Stegostoma tigrinum: one gene and its partners. The protein of the gene in region 3 interacts with the protein of the main gene of each other region in a biochemical or structural test. Links are inferred from orthologs where the notes say so. Each region holds a gene or a part of one and is shown on either strand. Other genes may lie near its edges.

What was found.
Region 1: the proteins of ube2m (region 3) and dcun1d4 form a complex in vitro, tested with the Homo sapiens proteins (3 studies listed by BioGRID). The link is inferred for Stegostoma tigrinum from reciprocal best matches to the Homo sapiens genes UBE2M and DCUN1D4.
Region 2: the proteins of ube2m (region 3) and dcun1d3 form a complex in vitro, tested with the Homo sapiens proteins (4 studies listed by BioGRID and IntAct). The link is inferred for Stegostoma tigrinum from reciprocal best matches to the Homo sapiens genes UBE2M and DCUN1D3.

The regions. Positions count from the first base shown.
Region 1 is NC_081354.1:106,280,432-106,288,291, reverse strand, and holds the start of dcun1d4 (DCN1-like protein 4), read right to left. Parts: upstream 3,022-7,860; 5' UTR 2,912-3,021; coding exon 2,893-2,911; intron 1-2,892. UniProt on the Homo sapiens protein: Contributes to the neddylation of all cullins by transferring NEDD8 from N-terminally acetylated NEDD8-conjugating E2s enzyme to different cullin C-terminal domain-RBX complexes which are necessary for the activation of cullin-RING E3 ubiquitin ligases (CRLs).
Region 2 is NC_081376.1:49,316,738-49,324,624, forward strand, and holds the start of dcun1d3 (DCN1-like protein 3), read left to right. Parts: upstream 1-4,866; 5' UTR 4,867-5,279; intron 5,280-7,887. Other genes in the region: lyrm1 (LYR motif containing protein 1), read right to left, coding at 4,081-4,098. UniProt on the Homo sapiens protein: Contributes to the neddylation of all cullins by transferring NEDD8 from N-terminally acetylated NEDD8-conjugating E2s enzyme to different cullin C-terminal domain-RBX complexes and may play a role in the cell cycle progression by regulating the SCF ubiquitin E3 ligase complex, after UV damage.
Region 3 is NC_081391.1:19,879,863-19,887,344, forward strand, and holds the start of ube2m (NEDD8-conjugating enzyme Ubc12), read left to right. Parts: upstream 1-4,445; 5' UTR 4,446-4,578; coding exon 4,579-4,687; intron 4,688-7,482.

The DNA.
Region 1 (7,860 bases), on a different chromosome or scaffold from region 3:
TTCAGTAAAATGTGCTCTAAAATCAGAGTTTCAGTGGAACAGTCATAGGAACTGGTACATGTAAAAAGGGCCAAGACCCTTCTAGTTTATGTTTCACCATCTCGGTAATCGCATGATACAACAATAAAGTTGTTACAGCAATCAATCCTAACAATTAATCTACAGAAACAAAAATAATCTCTGGATTTTGTCAGATTTGCAAATTAATGCACAATTATAATTAATACCAGCTTCCATAATATAACACCAATGATTTTTTTCTAGAAAGATATAAAAACAAATATTAACTAGGAAACAATTTAGCAAATTTCAAAAACCTTATGTTATTGTGTTATACTCAGTATTGATATGATCATTGGAACAGCTTTGACAGAGGAGGTACAAAATCTTCAAAAATAATTCTGCAAACTAAAGGACCATTTAATATATTAGTGTAGTAAATACAGATTGTAGAGAGGTTCAAATAATCCACAAAGAGTGGTGCACTTTTCTACAGTTTCATTATTTAAAAGTGGTTACCTTGCTAAGGAAGCAGTGACAAACAATGAGGATGATAAATCACAAATTTCACTGCTGTGCAAGAACAAATACCTGTCAGTGAATTTGGCTGCTTTCAGTCTTCAGTTAGGCTTTATTCAAGTTCAGGAGATCATTAAGGCCCCTTAATCAGTTTATTGCATTATAATTCACTGATTTCATCATTATCTCAAATGAACTGCAAATGATTTAATTCGGAGTATTTTACCCAGAACTTTAAAAAAAGATGAACAATATTGTTACATTACCATTGTCCTCAAAAGGAAACTTTTAAACACTGGTCACTTTTAAAGAGCAAGTCAAATATGTCATGTTTATTACATAGGTGAGATATTTAAAGCCAAATTATTAAGCATTAATTTACATCAAAACTAGTGAATTTTCCTCTTTATTTACAAATCATTTTAAGTTCTGCATATTGACATTTAAATTTCCATTATTATATCACTATGTGCAGATTAAAAGTACAAATTGTCTTAAAATGCAAATAATTGATGAACAGTACCTTAGTACCGCTTGCTGTGAGGTCACTTATCTACACTTGGTTCTAAACTCTCAGCTCTAACTATCCTGTACTTCCCAGTTCTTTCACATTCAGTACTGCATATCTCAGAACATCCCCCTCTATCTCATGTGTTAGATTTTCACACTTAGATGTCTGAACTTCTTGAACTCCAACAGCCTGAGAATCCAGCTGTGATTGCTTCGGACATTTTATACTCTAGTTCTAAAAACTTGGCTTATACCGAAACATAAAAGTATCCACTTACATTTGGATGTAACAAAAGTGTGCAAATACAACTTATATTGAATACTGTTAAGTATTGGGTTCTCTTCATCCTGTTCCACAAGTTCAAATAAAAACTACTGTACTACAAAACTGGTCTATCATAGTTGTAATTAATGTAAAATGCAACTTTGGTTTATATCCTCAACTTAACAGACCAAATTTCAACTTTCAAAATGTGGATTGAAACTGAATGCACGCAAAAGACAATACTTGTCTAGTACAATGAACAATAAACTTCCACAACTGGAAATCAGGACAGAAGTTAATACATCTTCATTCAGGGGGTTCTATGACACTGGGCCACAGATGAGAAGTCAGCAATTTCTTTATTCTTTATTTCTTCATTTTTCTGCCTTAAAATTCTTTAATTTTGGTTTATTTGTATTTTAAGATGACACTGGAGAGTGGCAACATTATACCACAATTTTTACCATATTTTGTAAGTAAACAGACATGACAATAAATCAAAATCATGCCATGACTTTATTCATAAGTGTCATACCTTCCAGTTTTAACAAAAAAAAGTTGCCTTTTATTCTTAGTACAGGTAAACACGCAATTCTAACAAGTAGCAAAACACAGCATTAGCTCGTAGTTGTGAAAGCTGGTTAAGCCATCTAGATCAACTCCAAGCAGACATGATATTCATGCTAAGGTTTCTACAATTAAACAAAACTGAAGGAATTTTGTTAACTACAGTAGAAATCAACTGACCAGAATGCAGAATCATCACCATATCTTGCATAGCCACAGAACTGGGTGAATTTGCCAAGGTGGACAATGTAGTTAAAATAATGCCCGTTCAACAAAAAGGTAAACCCCATTTAAAGTAGAACTAATACGCAAAGAAAAATATATTTATTTAAATAACGGACACTGCGGATGGCCAAAGATGGAAAAAAAACCTAGATAGAGAGTACTGCATTGAGACCAATCTGCCAGAGTGGCCAAGGAGCTGAGCCCCCAGGTAAACGCTTCCCTAGGTTACACCGCATAAAGCAGTCTGGGGATTGCAGTTCCCTTGTGACGCCACTAGGTGTGTCATCACATAATTAGTCGTCATAGAACTACAATTCCCAGAAAACGTCACGAACGTTGCGCCTGCGCGTTGATATACGCGTCCCACATTCTCGTACCCTCCCCAACATCCTGAAATAAATACAACTCCAGACAGCTTCTCAGCAGAGTTGACAAAGCTTCTGCATCGGGGGGAGGGGGAGTAGAGAAAGAGAATAATAATCCCCTTCCTTGCCCAATGCCGCCACCATATCATTCTGCTGATATCCACTTTCGACCATGAATCGGACAAGGAGAAAAAGAATGCGATCAGGTTAGTCAGGGCATTAATATGAGACACTCTGGAAAGAAAACTGCGTCACCTCTCTTCTGTGACACACGAATCATCTCCATTAAAGAGACGCAGGTGAAACAGAATACCTTGCACTAAACGCAGACAAAAACAAATGAACCCTGTAGTGCTGACAAAGGAAATGGCATAGCCATGTGAAATATGTATGCACCATGGGGGACAGCAGTAGTTAGAGCGGCGGATCCTCGATACTTACTGACTGCATCCGCGTGCATTTTCAGGGCGAGGATGGTTCAGAACGCGCCGGACAACCGCTCCCGCTCGTGCCGGTGAAGCCAGCCAGTAACAACGGAAGTCCCGCCTGCGCCTCTCTGCGATTGGCTCCCCAGCCCGCCCACCTCGCGTAACTCTCAGGGCAGCGTTCCTCTGGCTACTGGAATGTCAATCACAGGGGCCGCCACGGATGGGCGGGACCGGTGGTGTGGTTCGGCACGGCTTGGCTCCGCCTTCAGCCTCGGGGAGAACGGTAGCTGTCGGTACAGGTTATTTATCACCCATTCGTTGCGATGTACACGTTTAAAGCAAATTGAAACACATACTCCTATGATGAGGGATGTTGAATGGTGTCCTGGCGTTATTTATCCCCCGCCCCCCCCTCCCCCGGCTAACTTATACTGTTTTCTAATGAAGTCGCCACCTCGTCGTTGCAGTAAATAATAGGAATGAGTCCCCATCCTAGCAACAGAGGGATCCTGGACCAATCAGAGTACCGGTCCGTGGCCTGTTGTACCGGTTATTGGGGGAGGGGAGAGGTGAACCACTTGATCTGGATTGTGCCGTTGAGGTCGTGGCTATGGTTACATTTTTATTCAATAAATCTGCATTTAGATTTACACTGACTCAGCGATAATCTGCCAAATTCCGTTCCCCAGTAATCACCCCGCTTTCTTACATGACTTGTCTTAATTCTCCCCACGCTTGAACGAGTTCAATCGATTTGCAAACTCCTCACTCCCGTTGAAGATTTCTCGCTTCCAGTGCCCACTGTAAGGAAGAAAGACGAAGAAATTATACGTCTGTCAGTCACACTTTATCATGGCTAGGTTTGGCTAAGGCGAATGTAGGTCCTTTACTGGCAGTCACTAGAAGTCATAATGAGGAATAAGAGAAATGGTAGATGAGTTTGTGTTTGTTTTCACCGAGGATGGTGCAAGCTATTTCCCCGAACCAGAGATCGAATCCAGCAAATTAGTATTAATAAAAAAAGTTCTACTGGAGAAAAAGTGGAGCTGAAAGTTGGCCTTCAAGGACCTGATAGTTTAAATCCCACACAGTTTAAAGACGTGGCTATCAAGATAATGAAGGAAACAAATTACTGCAGATGCTACAAAAAAAAGCTGGAGATCACAGCGGGTCAGACGACATCCACGAAAGGAAAGAAAGCTAACGTTTCGAGCTTCAGCTGTGATGAAGAGTCATCTAAACTCGAAATGTTCAGCCGACTCTTTCTGCATCGATGCTGTCTGAGCCGCTGTAATCTCCAGCATTTGTTGTGTTTGCTATCGGGACAGTGCGTCGTTGGTCATCAGCTTCTAAATTCTAAGGAGTGATTCCTAAAGGTTGGAAGCTACGTACGTCGTACCACTAATAAATAAGGAAGTGAGAAAGAAAACAGGCGACTGCAGACTTAATAGCTCTCACGAGTAGTAGGGGAAGTGAATTATAAAGAATATGATCAATAGATGAATGGACAAAAATGTAGGGCACAATCATTACGAATTTGCAACTTGGAGGTCAGGGGGCTGTTAGTCACAAAATTGATTATGGAAAGTGAACGGATGTAACAAACTGAAATTTTCAGGTTTTATAGCGTCCCCTGCAGGACCTTCAGCAAATTCAAAACACACGAGAATGGGAGGTTAATAAAATGTGAGGCTGGATGAACACAGCAGGCCAAGCAGCATCTCAGGAGCACAAAAGCTGACGTTTCGGGCCTAGATCCTTCATCAGAGAGGGGGATGGAGAGAGGGAACTGTAATAAATAGGGAGAGAGGGAGGCGGACCGAAGATGGAGAGTAAAGATAGGTGGAGAGAGTATAGGTGGGGAGGTAGGGAGGGGATAGGTCAGTCCAGGGAAGACAGACAGGTCAAGGAGGTGGGATGAGGTTATTAGGTGGACGGGGGTGCGGCTTGGGGTGGGAGGAAGAGATGGGTGAGAGGAAGAACGGTTAGGGAGGCAGAGACAGGTTGGATTGGTTTTGGGATGCAGTGGGTGGGGGGGAAGAGCTGGGCTGGTTGTGTGGTGCAGTGGGGGGAGGGGACGAACTGGGCTGGTTTAGGGATGCAGTAGGGGAAGGGAAGATTTTGAAACTGGTGAAGTCCACATTGATACCATATGGCTGCAGGGTTCCCAGGCGGAATATGAGTTGCTGTTCCTGCAACCTTCGGGTGGCATCATTGTGGCACTGCAGGAGGCCCATGATGGACATGTCATCTAGAGAATGGGAGCGGGAGTGGAAATGGTTTGCGACTGGGAGGTGCAGTTGTTTGTTGCGAACTGAGCGGAGGTGTTCTGCAAAGCGGTCCCCAAGCCTCCGCTTGGTTTCCCTAATGTAGAGGAAGCCGCACTGGGTACAGTGGATGCAGTATACCACATTGGCAGATGTGCAGGTGAACCTCTGCTTAATGTGGAATGTCATCTTGGGGCCTGGGATAGGGGTGAGGGGGCAAGTGTCGCATTTCCTGCGGTTGCAGGGGAAGGTGCCGGGTGTGGTGGGGTTGGAGGGCAGTGTGGAACGAACAAGGGAGTCACGGAGAGAGTGGTCTCTCCGGAAAGCAGACAGGGGTGGGGATGGAAAAATGTCTTGGGTGGTGGGGTCGGATTGTAGATGGCGGAAGTGTCGGAGGATGATGCGTTGTATCCGGAGGTTGGTAGGGTGGTGTGTGAGAACGAGGGGGATCCTCTTAGGGCGGTTGTGGCGGGGGCGGGGTGTGAGGGATGTGTTGCGGGAAATACGGGAGACGCGGTCAAGGGCGTTCTCGATCACTGTGGGGGGAAAGTTGCGGTCCTTCATGGGCCTCCTGCACTGCCACAATGATGCCACCTGAAGGTTGCAGGAACAGCAACTCATATTCCGCCTGGGAACCCTGCAGCCATATGGTATCAATGTGGACTTCACCAGTTTCAAAATCTCCCCTTCCCCTACTGCATCCCTAAACCAGCCCAATTCGTCCCCTCCCCCCACTGCACCACACCACCAGCCCAGCTCTTCCCCCCACCCACTGCATCCCAAAACCAGTCCAACCTGTCTCTGCCTCCCTAACCGGTTCTTCCTCTCACCCATCCCTTCCTCCCACCCCAAGCCGCACCCCCATCTACCTACTAACCTCATCCCACCTCCTTGACCTGTCCGTCTTCCCTGGACTGACCTATCCCCTCCCTACCTCCCCACCTATACTCTCTCCACCTATCTTCTTTACTCTCCATCTTCGGTCCGCCTCCCCCTCTCTCCCTATTTATTCCAGTTCCCTCTCCCCATCCCCCTCTCTGATGAAGGGTCTAGGCCCGAAACGTCAGCTTTTGTGCTCCTGAGATGCTGCTTGGCCTGCTGTGTTCATCCAGCCTCACATTTTATTATCTTGGAATTCTCCAGCATCTGCAGTTCCCATTATCTCAGAATAGGAGGTTATGTGTGGGCATAGATGAAGATTGAGCCAACAGGTTGGAAACAGACCTAGAAATGAACAGATTATTCTCGTGTTGGTAGGCTGTTTCTAGAAGGATATCAGTGGGTCAGAATTTGGGCCCCAGCTGTTTGCAATATATAGGCAATTCGGATGTGGGGTCCAGAATGACATATTTGCAGATGATACAAAGCTAAGTGGAGGGATCTGTGTTGCCTTCAGGCCAGAGATCCTGGTTCAAATCCCACCTGCCTTGAAGGTATGTCATATCATATCCAACCAGGGTGGATGAAAATAACTACAAAGCTGTGCTGTGATTAATTAGATTCCCTACAGTGTGGAAACAGGCCCTTCAGCCCAACAACTCCACACCACCCTTTGCAGCGTCCCACCCAGACCCATCCCCCTATAACACACACACACACCCATGTACACAACGGGCAATTTAACATGGCCAATCCACCTAGCCTGCGCATCTTTGGACTGATAATGATATCAAGTGTTTTGGGAGGATGTGGACAGACTTGGTGATTAGGCAAGAACATGGCAGATGGAATATCTGGATATATGTTGGTAAAATTTGGTTATCCACATTAGTGTAAGTAAACTAAGTATAGAACATTTCTTAAATGGTAAGGTCTGTCATGATCTCATTGAGTGTGGAAGTCATGAAAGGCTGACTGGCCTAACTCCTGTTTGTATATAAGTAGCCCACTGGATGTTCTCTTATTTGATTAGTCTTTCTGCAAATAATGCTGCTTTGTTTCCAGTGACAACAATAACCTATTCTTTTTATTTAATGATATGTAATGATGTGTATTTTGGAAAAGTAAAACACATGCATGTATTTCAATGAAACATTCATGTCAGTATAATAAACTTCAAATAACTTTATTAAGACATTTGAAAAATTTTGGTACAAAAGACTATTTTTAGTATCACATTTCAGCTGATGTTAGTACTCCACTAAGACCACTAAAATTAAACCAATTTTTTTTATGATTCCCTACAGTGTGGAAACAGGCCCATTGGCCCAACAAGTCCACACTGCCCCTTGGATCATCCCACACACCTCTGAGCACTACAGGCAATTTAGCATGGCCAATTCACCTAGCCTGCACATCTTTGGACTGTGGAAGGAAACCTGGAGAAAACCCATGCAGACATGGGGAGAATGTGCAATCTTTGCACAGACAGATGCCTGAGGCTGGAATCGAACGTGGGTCCCTGGTGGTGTGAGGTTGCAGTGCTAACCACTGAGCCACTGTGCTGTCACACACCCCCACTGTCTTCTAATATTTGCCTTCATTTACCTAACAGCCTCTTAAACATCATAACTAAATTTGGTTTAGTGGTCACTAAACAATTATCTTGCATTACAGTGATACTGGGAACTGCAGATGCTGGAGAATCCAAGATAACAGAGCGCGGAGCTGGATGAACACAGCAGGCCCTTGCCCAAAATGTCAGCTTTTGTGCTCCTGAGATGCTGCTTGGCCTGCTGTCTTCATTCAGCTCCACACTTTGTTACCTTGCATTA
Region 2 (7,887 bases), on a different chromosome or scaffold from region 3:
CCTTGCTCGAAACATGAAACTTTAGAATTTTGCAAGGAAACATTCAGCTACAAATGTAGAGCCTTCAATTGAAACACTAACAGTTAAATGCTATTTTGAGTCACAAAAGTGCTATTTATTTATTGTTATGACAGGTTTGTTTTTTAAATGATGCAGCTAACACAGAAATGGAGAACATTATTAGGAGATAAGAATTGTTAAACTACTTGCTGTTGTAATTTGGCACACAGGTCTAGACAGGAATGGGTTCTAGAATCTACAAAGGAAGGTTAAGAATCAGAAAGGTGGTTTGGGGCAGAATCAGAACTGCAAATAAAACATGGTGGAAATACATGCATTGACATACACCACATGAGAATTTTGACAATTTTAAGTTGAATTTTGCAGTGCAGTGGTAGTGTCCCTATTGCTAGGTCAGAAGATCTGGATTCCAGTTCCCTAATTTCCAAAAGTGAAGACTCTGTGGATGAAGTGTGCAAATGGGATTGGTAAGCAGGCCATTTTTTGCTTTTCTGGAGCCTTTTTGTACTCAGAAAAGGGGAGCCGCTGAGTCAATGGGGTGGTTGTATATACCAGCAATATCACAAATAAAAGGACAGAAACTCTCAGCCAACATTGGAAAAAAAATCATCAATTTCCTGGAATTTCAATGCTTGTGTTTTAATTGGTGTCAAATAAGCGTTTATGGTCAATTAATCTAGGCATGTGTTTGTCTTGCGAACAATGGCTTGGCAGGAAGTGGGGTGTTTCTGTGAATATTTTAAAAAGGGGTGGAAGTCTGGAAGTCATCTGGAATTCCAGGAATTGTCAGTAAACACACGCTACTGGAGCAATTGGAAGCAGCCTAGTTTTAGGAGCAATTACACAGATAACTTGGATAAACTGCAGAATTGGGCTGAAACGTGGCAAATGGATTTTAATACGGATAAATGTGAGGTGATTCACTTTAGGAGGAATAATAAGGTGGCAGAATACCAGGTCAATGGAAAGATTCTTGGTAGTGTGGATGTGCAGAGGGATCTTGGTGTCCATGTACATAGATCCCTGAAAGTTGCCACCCAGGTTGATAGTGCTGTTAAGGCGGCTTACGGTGATTGAGTTCCGGAGCCATGATGTCATGCTGCAACTGTACAAAATGCTAGTGCGACCTCATTTGGAATACTGCGTGCAGTTCTGGTCACCCCATTACAGGAAGGATGTGGAAGCATCGGAAAAGGTGCAGAGGAGATTCACCAGGATGTTGTCTGGTCTAGAGCGAAGGCCCTATGAAGAAAGGCTGAGGGACTTGGGTCTGTTCTCGTTGGAGAGAAGGAGGCTAAGAGGGGATTTTATAGAGACATACAAGACGATCAGAGGATTAGATAGGGTGGACAGTGAGAGTCTTTTTCGAGGATGATGACTTCAGCTTGTACAAGAGGACTTGGCTACAAATTGAGGGGTGATAGATTTAAGACAGATGTCAGTGGCAGGTTCTTTACTCAGAGTGGTAAGGGTGTGGAATGCCCTGCCTGCCAATGTAGTTAACTCAGCCACATTAGGGGCATTTAAACAGTCCTTGGATAAGCATATGGATAATGATGGGATAGTGTAGGGGGATTAGATCAGTTCACAGGTCGGCACAACATCGAGGGCCGAAGGGCCTGTTCGGCGCTGTATTGTTCTGTGTTCTATAACTCACAACAAGAAGTTGAGGTGGTGGATTAAAGTTTATTTTTAGTCCATTGCACTTGTCAGAAGCTCAAGCAAAATGGGGTTTTGGCCTCCGGTGAACCACCAATTCCAATCAGATTTCCAGAGTCAGCTTGCTGGCTTGATGGCGTCTAATTTCCTCCTGATCGTGGGCTTCAGTTAAGTGCTGGGTGGAGGAAAGAGGACTAGCCTTGTACAGCAAGTGTCTACATTAGTGTTGCAAAACTGGAGATGAATGCTACTGGATTATTTCACCGAATGGTGACATTTAAATTCTGAGTAGTACACTAAGGACTGTGCCCTGAGTATGAAACATGACTATACTGGTCAGGAGAAGCATTTAAGAGTTACCAAAACATGGAAGGTTAAGCTGCATCATGCTAATTATTGGATTTCACACGTAACAAATAATATCCAGCTGCACAATAAAAACTATGATTTTGAAAAATCCATGCTGACTGTATATCAGCAGACACTGCCTGTGCATAAACCCAAAGTCACTGCAACTCTACCGTCCATATACTCAGTCAAATATCTACTAACCAGTATACTCACTGACTTACCTCTCTACCTACCACTAGACAAAATTTGCTTTTTTATCATAGGGTTCAAATCTCTCCTTTATATCATTGTAATTTCCTCCAGCCTGAAAGTTTGCATGCCTCAAAGTTCCTTTGCCCCACTGTTCTCAGCCATGACTTCAATGGTCCATGCTGCAGCTCTGGAATTTCCAAACTTCTCTCTGTCTCCCCTCCTTGAATATGGCCATAAGACCATAAGACACAGGAATGGAAGTAAGGCCATTTGGCCCGTCAAGTCCACTCCGCCATTAAAATCATGGCTGATGGGCATTTCAACTCCACTTCCCTGCACTCTCCCCATAGCCCTTGATTCGTTCTGAGATCAAGAATTTGTTGATTTCTGCCTTGAAGGCATCCAACTTCCCGGCCTCCACTGCACTCCGTGGCAATGAATTCCACATGCCCACCACTCTCTGGCTGAAGAAATGCCGTCTCAGTTCAGTTTTAAATTTACCCCCTCTAATTTTAAGGCTGTGCCCACAGGTCCTAGTTTCCCCGCCTAACAGAAACAACTTCCTAGCGTCCACCCCTTCTAGACCATACATTATCTTGTAAATTTCTATTAGATCTCCCCATAACCTTGTAAACTCTAATGAGTACAATCCCAGGATCCTTAGCCGTTCATCATACGTTAAACCTACCATTCCAGGGATCTAGCCCTTAGTATCTACCTCGATTATTTGACACTTGTCAGTATTTACCTGATTAAACTGCCGTGAAGCCAAGGTTATAGGCAGTACAGGATACAAATGCAAGTCACTGAATTAAGCTATTAGAGAGCAACGTTGAAGGTGCCAGCTCAAATTGTCAAGATTTTTGTCACTCTTGAAAGTCAAGTAATTATACTATCATTTATTTGTGCAGCAACACAAGCAAATAAAACCATTACATTAGCACTTTATCAAATCAGGGGATACTGGAAATCTGTTATATGAAGAATGGTGTGGTCCAGTTGTGTGTAAGTTCGGTACTGGCTATGATTTCACATGAACTTTATCATAGCCTTATAGGCTCTCGGTGAGAATGTTTATTGTGCGTTGAAGTTCCTGTAGGCTACATTCTTATAGCTTGCAATTTCTAACTTTAGATAAAGCAACAGTTCTTTTTAAGAAAAATGGAAACTTGACTGTTATCCACAAGGGCTAGTTTAATTCTTAAATTTTAGCTGTTTGGTACAAATTAAGAAAAAATTGAGTAAAGTTTGGAACTAAAAGTTTAAAAAAATGAGTAAATCAAGGCAAAACAAAGATGTATGACTAAACATTTTGCCTTGCAATCGTCCGAAGAGGGGCTAGATGCTGAATTTCAAATGGAAGAACAATTTATATTACAGGTGACTTCTTATTACACATCAATGAAAAACGCAAGAAAGCAGGGCTGGTATTAACCATCTAATAGAAATATCGATAGCCCAAAGATGTGCAGGTTAGGCAGATTAGCCAAGCTAAATTGCCTATAGTGTTCAGGGATGCACTGATTAGGTCCGTCAGCCATGGAAAATACAGGGATTGGGTATGGGTCTGGGTGGAATGCTCTTCGGAGGATCAGTATGGACTCTCTGGGCCGAATAGCCTGTTTCCACACTGCAGGGATTATATTTGAGAAGTTTCATTCAGCAATCGGGGAGTATCTCCCCACGGCCTCAGTTTAAAAGCCGACAGCTGTGTTTATAAATTCATGACTGATGCAGAAAGGAAAAAAAAAGGCAAAACGCTCGAGTGAACGGCTCGTTTCTTCTCTTCCCCAGCCCTTACCAAACACCCACACAAACTACCCAGCCACAAGGCGAGGGAGAAGGGGACGGCCTCACCTTCTCAAGATGAAGCATCCGGCCGCAGTTCACTCTCCAAATATTCAACCGCCCGTCACACCGACCATTCGTCCATCACGACAGCGCGTTGTCTTTCTGATTTGTGAATTTTTAAATAAGAGAAGATAAAATAAAGACGTGAAGTAGTTAAACTGCTGTCAGGTGACCTCACGTTGGATGGAGCCAGGGCCACCCGCCCTAAATTAAAATAAAACTACTATTTTCTGTTTTGCGTTCGGTCGTTACCGGAGAACAGGGATGGATAAAGAAGCGGAATATACCGAACTTTAGAGAGAGCGCACAGGCGGCGGTGTCAACACCGATTCACGGGAGAGGGGTACCGAGGAGACACCGCCAATCTGACATCCCAACGGAAAACCGCGCGCGCCCCAGCACTGCGCATGCGTACCACTCACCAGGCCACGAGCGGCAAGCACGCGCGTCTTCTTCCCTTTGCCCTCCTCCCCGCTCAACCCAATCCCAAAGCCAGGGCGCGATGCCGCGTCTGACCGCGAACGCGCGCAACTCCGTCCGATTCACGCAAACACGCCATGCGCGCCCGCCAATCCAGGTTCACGCCCGCCCGCGGAGTTGCGCACGCGCATTTCCCTCATCGCCGCCGGGCAGCTGATGGAAATGCGCATGCGCACTTCCACCGGAACGTAGGCTCATATCCACACAGAGCTCCGATCCGTTCCAAAGCCTTCTGCGCACGCGCATCACCTCCTCCTCTTCCCCGCCCCTCCGCGCGGCGGTGTGGCCTCGTGTCATCAGCGTCATGGCGTCACTGTTGTCTGACCGCAAGGTTTGATGAGGTAATGCGCAGACGGAAAGCTGGCTGCCCGGCGCAGTAGGAAGTGATGAGGGGAAGTTTCTGTCTCCTCAAATTATCAGCGGAACGGTGGCCGTTTCTCCGTCCGTGCCTTTCGCGAAAAGCTGAACGTTAGTGTCCATCCGGGGTGACTATGGCTTTGAAAAGGTCGGGTTGCCCGGCCGTGATGATGTCGTGAGAAGGCCTGGCGCCTTTCCTGCCTTTCCTCTCTCCGAGGCCAAGGGAAGCCCGTCGTTGTTTCAGTGCCTTCGCGCAGACCTCTGACTCCTCACCCTGAATTAATACTCAAAAACTCCTCAGCCGTCTGCTTTTTAAACTCGCTCTCCCGGAAAACAGGACGATGGCTTGATCACGTTTCATGTTATTTGTAAGTTTCTGTTTTTCGACATCGACCTGGGTTGTAGCACAAACGGAGTGGGGTAACGGCGGTTGGGCTTTTTGTTTTGGTGAGGCAATTGATTCAAGTCTGAATCAAAGAAATATCTCCCTCACACGTGGCACTTTCTACCTTATCTGAGTCTGTGTGATGGATAACTTTCCTTCTGTTTTGGGTGTTGAAATCTGGGTTGCCTGCTAAAACGAGTGATGGCCTAATTTCCTTTTTAAATCCATGGAATGAAATGTTCCTTTCAATGGAAAAAATAAATGTTGGTGATAAAGTGTATAAATGGTGTGCTTCCAAGCGATGATTCTTCAATGATAACGTAGAGGCAGAATGGCTTCAAGATAGATTGTTGACAGGTTGATCTTCGTAACAGTAATCAATTGCAGGCATCAACAATGGTCCTGCACGCAAGCACTGTGTTCTAAAATGAAGATGCAGTTTGAATGGGGGAGGGGTGGCGATGGAGCATTGCCGAGCAGTTTGTTTTTCACTTGTCTATTGCCCTAGTTCAACCTTTCCTACAGATGAGAATTTCCCTCTCCTGGGATTGCCCTGTCATTGGAATTACAGGCCTTTTGCGAGTACTATGTCACTACTAGAGTTAGCTTTCAGATTAATTCATTACAGAATAGTGACAATCTGCTTTCAGGTTCTCGTGTTATGCACGCATGTGGACATTGCAGAAACCTGTTTACTTCTAAAAGCAAAACATTTTCTATAATCTTTCACAACCTTGGAATACCCCAGAGCATTTTTATAGTCAACATGTTATTTTCAAAGTCATTTTTTGAAATGCAGCAGCCAATTTGCACATAGCAAGGTTCCACAACAAGAATGTGTTAGTGACTAGATAATTAGTTGTAGGAATGTTCTTAGAGGGATAGATACTATTCTGAACACCAGGTTAGATTTCAACTTCTTAGCCATAGAGATTTTACAACATGGAAAGAGGACTGTTGTTTCTACACCAGCCATCAAATATGGATCTATTTTAATCCCATTTTCCAGCATTTAGCCTGTGGCCTAGTATAGAATCGAGTTTCAACTGTTCAGCTATATAGCTTTTTAAATTACTTGAGGCTTCTCTAACGTCCTATTAGACATTCTGTTCTAAATGCCCACAACCCTCTAGGTGAAAAGGAAATCCTCAAACCCACTCTAACCTTCCTGCTCCTAACCTTAAAACTGCCCCCTTGTTATTTACCCCTCAATTAAGGGGAAAAGTGTCTACCCATCTGTGCCCCTCAGAATTTTGTACACTTTGATCAGATCCCTTCCCTCAGCCTTCTCTCCTTTTAAGGAGGACAACTCCAGCCTGTCGGTCTGCGCATTGCTGAGTTGTTCCAGCCCAGGCATATTTAGATTTCTAAAAGGATTCAATAAGATGTCACAAAAAGGGCTGCACAAGGTATAAGCTCTTGATGTGCTGAATTTCTCTGCTTTCTAATTGTTTTTTCAAATCTCCAATTTCTGCAGTACTTCACATTTATTATAAATGCTCTTGAGATTGGACTAGTGTAGTAGAATTAGTGAAAGTTGATATAAAGGGCAAAAAATGGAGTAGCAATAAATAGATTTAAAGAAAACCCGTAAGAACTGTGGTTGCTGGAAATCGGAAACAAAAACAGAAATCACTGGAAAAACTCAGCAGGTCTGGCAGGTCTCTATGGAGAGAAAGCAGAGTCAAAGTTTTGAGTCCAGTGACCCTTCTTCAGAAGTAATTAGCTAGGAAAAGGTTAGCCTGTATGCTGAAGATAGGATTGGGGAGGAGTAAATGATAAGTGGAGATGGAGTGAGGGACCATTAGCTGACACTGAGTTGGTCGCGGTAGCAGGCTAAATGATGACGAGGCTTTGGTGTATGGGGTTTGGGGTAAGGACATGGGAAAAGGTGCTTAATTATTGAACTCTTGATTCCTGAAGGTTAGAGTTAGGTCTCAGGTTGGCAAGCAATAACTAGAAAAGTCCTGAATTTCGGAGATACCATTATTTACCATTAATTGTCAACAGTTTGGTTGAAGGGTCCGAGTGTAACCTCATTGGTTTTGTAGATAAGGAACTAGGTGAGAAAGTAAGCTGGGAAGAGGATGTAATCTGCAAAGACATTTTATATTTTTAACTGAGTTGGAAGGGGTTGCAATGTAATGATAGGAAATAAGGTTATTCACTTCAGTAGGAAGAGTATAAAATCAATAGTTTTCAATTAGAACAATCAATACTTGATATTCAGAGGAATGTGGGTGTGCTTATATAACTAATACAGAAAATTAACATACAGGTAAAGCAAGAAATTAGATTAAATTCCCTACAGTGTAAAACAGGCCCTTCGGCCCAACAAGTCCACACCACCCCTTATACCATCCCACCCAAACGCATCCCCCTATAATCCACACACCCCTGAACACTATGGGCAATTTAGCATTGCCAATCCACCTAGCCTGCACATCTTTGGACTGTGGACGGAAACCGGAGCACCTGGAGGAAGCCCATGCAGACATTGGGAGTACGTGCAAACTCTGCACAGAGAGTCACCCGAGGCTGGAATCGAACCTGGGTCCCTGGTGCTGTGAGGCTGTTTTTGGCATGGCTAT
Region 3 (7,482 bases):
CAATTTAAAAGGAGAGGCTGGGCAAAGCATCAGTGACAGTTATGAATACTCTGAAGGATGAGCTGTGGGATCAGAACATGAGATGCTCCGGAAACAGGCAAGTGCAGTTATGCAGTTGCCCATAGCAACATCTTTAATTTAAGCAAGTCAATTGAGAAGCCATTCATTGTCAGGACAAATGCAGCCAGGCTAACGAAGATGTTGTTGGATGGTGACCAGTTTGGCCTCCATTCAAGGAGGAAGTGGAGAGCCCCCAGATTGCCCTGGAGGGTTTCAGAAGTTATGGAAGGATTGAGTGTCCCATGTGACAACCCACTAGGAAGTTGGAAACCATCAGGAGTCTCACAGATGTAAGCTGGATGAGTTTTTCTTTGCAATATTGATTAAGGAATAAATATTGATTGCCATATTCCCATTGCCTACATTTCTGTCTTAGGTTTGCTGCAGTGCTCCAGCGAGGCTCAACACAACAAGGAACAAGAAGATGACAATGAGCACCTCATGTTCTGCCTAAGTACCTTACAGCCCTTGGGAGTCAATGATGAGTTGAACAATTTCAGAGCATTAACAACTATCTCCACGTTCATTAGCCACCCCACACCCCCAAGCTTTCTTCTGCATGGATTATTCCCAGCACAGCCAACCCATTTTCAACTATTCAGACTTGTCGTTAGCACCCATTTAGCATTTATCTCTCTCCCTGTTTATGATCAGCAATCCCTTCGGATCCCTCTGGGCATCATCTCCATTTATTTGTCTCACTCATAAAGTCATACAGCCAACCATAATCCCAAACCATGGCTCATATCCCTGCAAACATTTCTTATTCATGTACTCATCTAAATGTCTTTTAAACATTGTAACTATATCCACATCCACCATTTCCTAGAATCATCAAGTCATACAGCATTGAAACAGACCCTCCGGCCCAACCAGTCCAGGCCGAACATATCCCGAACTAAACTAGCCCCACCTGCCTGTTCCTGGCTCATATCCCTAAAAACCTTTCCTATTCATGTATCCATCCAAATGTCTTTTAAACATTGTAATTGTACCATGCATCCACACTTCCTCAGGAAGTTTATTCCACACGCAAACCACACAGCACGTAAAACGTTCGCCTCATGTCTTTTTGAAATCTCTCTCCTCTCACTTTAAAAATGTGCCCCTTAGTCTTGAAATTCCCAATCCTAGGGAAAAGACAACTCCATCAACTCTATCTATACCTCTCATTATTTTATAAACTTCTATAAGTTCACCTCTCAACACCCTACGTTCCAGTGAAAAATGTCTAAGCCTATCCAGCATTTCTTGTAAACAGCTTGATAATATCGTTCCTATAACTGGGCAACCCGAACTGGACACTGTATTTCAGAAGAGGCCTCACCAAAGTCCTGTACAATCCGAGCATAACGTCCTAACTCCTATGCTGAAATGACTGAGCAATGAAGACTAGCATGCCAAGTGCCTTTTTAACCATCCTCTCTATATGTGACACAAACGTTAAAGAATTATGTACCTGCACTCTAGGCCTGTCTGTTCTACAACACTACCCAAGGCCCTACCTGTGTTTGTTGTACCAAAATGCAATACCTTACATTTATCCAGATTGAACTCCATCTGCCATTTCTCAACCCATTAACCCACTTGAACAAGATCCATTTGTAATCTTAGAAAACATTCTTCACTGTCTACGATGCCACCAATGTTGGCGTCATCTGTAAACTTACTAACCATGCCTTCCATATTCTCATTCAAATCATTTATATAAATGACAAACAAAAGAGAACCCAGAACTGATCCCTGTGGAACAGTGCTGGTCAAAGACCTCCAGTCTGAAAAACAACCCTCCCACCATCACCCTCAGTCTCTTGCTGTTCAGCCAATTTTGTATCCAATTGGCAAGATCACCCTGAATCCCATGTGATCGTGCTTGACCACTTAGTATGCCATGTGGAACCTTGTTAAAGGTGTTACTTAAGCCCAAGTAAACAATGTGTACTGCTCTTCTCTCATCAATCTTCTTAGTTATTTCATCCAAAAAACTCAATAAAGTTTGTGACACATGATTTTCCTTGCACAAAACCATGCTATTACTATTCATTCCTTGCCTCTCCAAATGCACATAAATCCATATAACTCAGTTAGCTCAGTTGGCTGAACAGCTGTTTAATAATGTAGATTGATACCAACTGTGTGGTTTCAGTTCACATATGGACTGAAGCTACCATGAAGCGTCCTCCCTTGCCTGGGGCATGGTGATCCTTAGTTTAAAATATCACCAATCTTGTCTCTCTCGAATGAAAGAGTGGGACTGTGGTGACAACTTTTCCACCCACTCAACCCGAACCCCACCCCACGTCTGTTATCAGCATAAATACCTCTACCCACCTGTGGCTTTCTCTGCTGAAGAAGGATCACTGGACTGAAAATATAACTCTGCTTCACTCTCCACAGATGTTGCCAGACCTGCTGAGTTTCTCTAGCAATTCTGGTTTTGTTTCAGATTTCTAGTATCCACAGGTCTTTGTTAAATATAGGCCAGGACTGGTGATGTCTCCCTTGCTCTCCTTTGAGATAAGGGAAATGGAAGCTTTGACATTTATCTGAGAGGGCAAGAGATGGCATCTGCAACCTTCATTGTTAATGTGGGTATTTATGCTTAAGTCTCTGGAGTGGAACGCACATTTCTTTGACTCAGGGATGAGTATGCTCCCAGCATGGTACATCTGCTATAGAATAAGGAAAAGAAAATGTCTACACACACAAACATAAATGTGAATTGCTTTGTCACGCGACTGACCTAACTGACAGATAATCCCATTATCACGTTGTTTGTGCCTGCTGTGTTTCCCACATGGCAACAAGTGTCTATGCTTTAAAAAGAACTTTAAATCGCCTATATAACAAAGCGTGAAGCTGGATGAACGCAGCAGGCCAAGCAGCATCTCAGGAGCACAAAAGCTGATGCTTTGGGCCTAGACCCTTCATCAGGGCTCTGATGAAGGGTCTAGGCCTGAAACGTCACTTTTGGACCCCTGAGATGCTGCTTGGCCTGCTGTGTTCATCCAGCTTCACACTTTGTTACCTTGGATTCTCCAGCATCTGCAGTTCCCATTATCACTTTAAATCGCCTGTGATGTGTCTGGAGCCTCGTGAGCCATTCAAGCCCCTTAAGTGTGTCACTCACTGTCTCTTGTGTCACCATCCACAGAATGTGTCGCTTATTGCGAAATGTGTCTCTCATTTCCCACCTCTGTGCGTAACCCATCTTGTAAGCGTTATAAGTTCTGAGAAAGGATCACCGGACCCGAAATGTTAACTTTGTTTTCTCCGTCACAGATGCTGCCAGACTCGCTGAGCTTTTCCAGCAGCTTTGTTTTTGTTCCTGATTTACTTTCGGTTTTTATTTTGCAAGTGTTTCACCCATTGCCCCCCATCATGTGATGCCCATCTCCCCTTGTATGGCACCCATTTTCCCCCCATCGTGTGACACCCATCTCCCCTTGTGTTATAGCCATCTCTCCTTCTCCTGCACTGCTCAAGGTGCAGTTGTGTAAGAACCGAAAGAACTGTGGATGCTGTAAATCAGGAACAAAAACAGAAATTGCTGGAAAAGCTCTGCAGGCCTGGCACCATCTGTGAAGGAAGAGACAGAGTTAATGTTTTGGGTCCGGTGACCCTTCCTCGTGCGAACTGTTCATCCACTTCACCAACCACTTCCATCCCAACCTAAAGTACTTAGGTTTTTGTGCAATGATAATGGGAACTGCAGATGCTGGAGAATCCAAGATAACAAAAGTGAGGAGCTGGATGAACACAGCAGGCCAAGCAGCATCTCAGGAGCACAAAAGCTGACGTTTCGGGCCTAGACCTATCTAGGTTTTTGTGCAGTGGTGTTGCCGTGTGAAATGAGCAGGAACTTGAGCATTCAACACAGTGCGCCAAACTGCAGGAGATCCGCCTCTCCCATTCAGCCCCGCCCCATTCACTCGACCACGCCCATGTCACTCACCTGGCCACGCCCCCTCAAATCAGTCCCGCCCATTTGCAACCTGCCGCGCCCCCTTTTCGGCCCCTAGACTTTGAATAGTCTCCTCCCCCATCATTCAGCTCCGCCCCTCCTGCACCGGCGCCCTCACCTCTAAATTCCGCCTTGTCACTTAGCCACGCCCACCTATTGTGACCCGCTTCACGTTTTCTCGCTCCGCCCCCCCAATGTATCCATACTCACACAACTGACCCCGCCCATATCCTTCAGATCAGCCCTCTCCCATGTAGCCCCGCCCCATTCTTTAGTTCCGCCCAGTCACATGTAGCCGCGCCCACGCCGGTAACAGCGCCCGCGTCCTCTAGACCCGCCCCCAACGCTATTAGGCCCCGCCCCAACGCCTTAGCCGCACCCATTCCCTTGGCTCCGCCCAAGCCCGCTAACCATCCACGGGCTGACCCCGCCCCCTTGCCCTCTGACCCGTTCCGCTCCCACGCTGCCCCGCGCTCTGCTCCCTGCCCGAGCGGCGGCTCCGTGTCTCCCTCCGACCCTCAGCCTGAGTCCCGAGGCCCCGCCGCCGCCGCATCATGATCAAGCTCTTCTCGCTCAAGCAGCAGAAGAAGGAAGAGGACGCCGCCGGAGCCGCCAAGACCGGCACCAAGAAGGCGTCGGCCGCGCAGCTCCGCATTCAGAAAGGTAACGGGAGGCCGGGGGCTCGGCGAAGCCAGGGCCCAGGGGAGGGTGAAGGGATCGGCGGGCCAGGCCTCTCTGAGGCACCGGGGCAAGGGGTACTGTTGTCGGCGGGGGTTGGAGACCGGCCTCTGACCCACAAGGAAGGCCTGGAAGCAGCTAGGCCTTAAATGGAGCCTGGGATCCGATTCGACCGGCTTGCTTCATGTGGAGAGGGCTCTGCTCCGAGGTCAGGACTGCGAGAGACCCCAGGATTGCCGGCGGGCAGAGACAGAGGAGAGGATCTGGGTGCTGGGCTCCTCAGAACGCCCTTCCCCAGGGTTGGGTGCAGTTGCCCCCACCCCTTTCCTCCCCTCATTATGGCCTGACTGTGGGGTGAGGAGAGGGTGTCAGGGATTTCCCCCAGGTTCAGTGGGCTCCTGATGAAAGCACTGATCTGCCAGGGTGAGGCAGCTACAGCCAACTGCTTCCTAACTGCCTGGTAACTGGTACCAGTTCTGGTCTTTGACCACCGTGTTGCCGTCTCTTGAGGGGAACCGCAGTTGCAATCTGTCACCTCAGCCCATCCGTCACCCCCTCCCTTCGACACTGATATAATCCCTACCCTCTCAATGCCTCCACTCTTGTAATCTGCCACCGACACCAATTCCAGGGTTACCATTCCTTGGACTCCTGAACCGGTTGTCCCAGCACCCAAGAAGTTTGAAATTTGCCAACAAAATATCAGGTTTCTTCTCCAAAGCGTTAAGACAAAGAAGGATATGTAGTCCCATACTTGCAATGCTAGTTTGAAATTGGGGCTAGATGGAGTTTTATTAAAATCACAAAACATCAGTTGCAGAAGGTGGTTTTCACACATTGGCAAGTTGATGACTATGCTTGAATGGGATGGCCTGTGGGGGCAAGGAAGAAGTTGGAGGTTCTCCAAACATAGTTGTTAGAGTGTGCTGCGCTGCACTCTGGGGAATATTTTATGTTATCATTTAAGAGGAAGCTGGGGAAGCCTTTGAAAGGCTGCAATATAAAATATTTCAAGGGAAAGTAACTACATAGCTCCTGTTGAAGTGCTCTTATTGACTCGAAGGCAAAGTGCTGTAATTTCTAGATTTTATTTGGCCTGTACACTTGGAATGTACTGCTGCTGACATCCATCCACATTGGAAATCTCCTCACATAACCAGTCATCCATTTCTAATCTTTGACAAAAGGTGGCGGCAGTAGCTGGTACTCCAGCTAGCCATTCATCATGCCCACTCATGGACAGGCATTGGATTTCTGAATGCTGTTTCACTTTCTTTCCTAAGCCTTTATCCAGCTGATCAGTCATTGGTTTTGACCCAAGGTTGACAGGGATAGGTTGGGGGATGTGTCTGGGTCAGATGCAGTTCGGACGGTTGATATGGACTCGTTGGTCCAAACGGCCTGATTCCACAGTGTGGGGATTCTATGAAAATGTGAATGCCATCCCCAAAATAACTGCTGCTCTGCAGAATTCTGTCATTACCTGAGCCCCACGTATTTTTGGATTGTGTAAGGGGACACATGTTGGGAAATGCTTTATCCAGTGTCAACGATTTACAGATCACTGGACCATGGAATGCTCTGACCCAGACGGCAGTGGAGGCCAACTCTCTGGACAGTTTCAAGAAAGAGATAGATAGAGCTCTTAAAGGTAGTGGAATCAAGGGTTATGGAGATAAGATAGGAACAGGATACTGATTGTGGGTGATTGGCCATGAATGGTCGTGCTGGCTCGAAGGACCAAAGGGCCTACTCCAGCACCTGTTGTCTATCATGATAGGGGCAGGAGGAACGGACCATTACTCACAAGAGGACCTAAGGTAGGGAAATCCTGAGGTTGTATTGATCAGATAAGGAGAAAGAAAGGGGAACTGACCAAATACAAAGAGAGTACAGGTGCTCTTTCTACATAAATATGTTTTTAGAATATTTGTCAGTTCTCCAAAATGTTTTGAAAGATTTATATTGGAAAATGAGCACTGTTCAGTCAATTTCAAGGTTACTTTATTTTCTAAATATCTAATAATTTGAGTGCCACAAGTTAGAAAGCACTATATGTGAGGGGTGTTCTTTATGGTGTTGGCCTCTTATTTAAGGGAAGAAGTAAATATGTTGGAGACAGTTAAGGTGAGGTTTAGCAGACTGATACCTGATGAGCGGGTTATCTGTAGGTTGGACAGACAGGGCCTGTTTTCACTAGTTTAGAAGGGGTGACTTGATTGAAATGTGTAAGGTTCTGAATGGTCTTGATAAGATGGACTTGGAAAAGCTGTTTCCTCTTGTGGGTGAAGCCAGAGCTTGGGGACCCTGTTGCACAAAGATGAGGGATTTATTGTTTTCTGAGAGTTGTGTAACTTTGCCTCAGCGGACAATGTAGTTTGGATCACTGAATATTTTTAAGGCAGAGGTAGATAAATTCTTGATAGCTTTTGATTCAAATGACCATGAGGAGCAGATGAGAATGTGGAATTCAAAAAGCAAACAAATCAGCCATAATGTTATTGATTGGTAGAGCGAGGTCAAGGGGCTGAATGGCCATTTCTGCTCCAATTTTGTATGTCCGTATGGAGGATCTTTTCGTCTTTAAAAAAAGCGTTCTGATTGCTTTTAGGTACTAGCAGCTGATTATTGTTGAGGACCCTATTGTGTCAATCGTCCTTGCACTTCCTCTCTCTCGACTAATGTGAATTCTGTTCCCAGCAGCTGGTCAGCTCTTCCCCATCTGCCTGTCTGCCTGAGGTTATCACCCCTTCAAAGAGCAGATGTGTGCTTATTTCTCC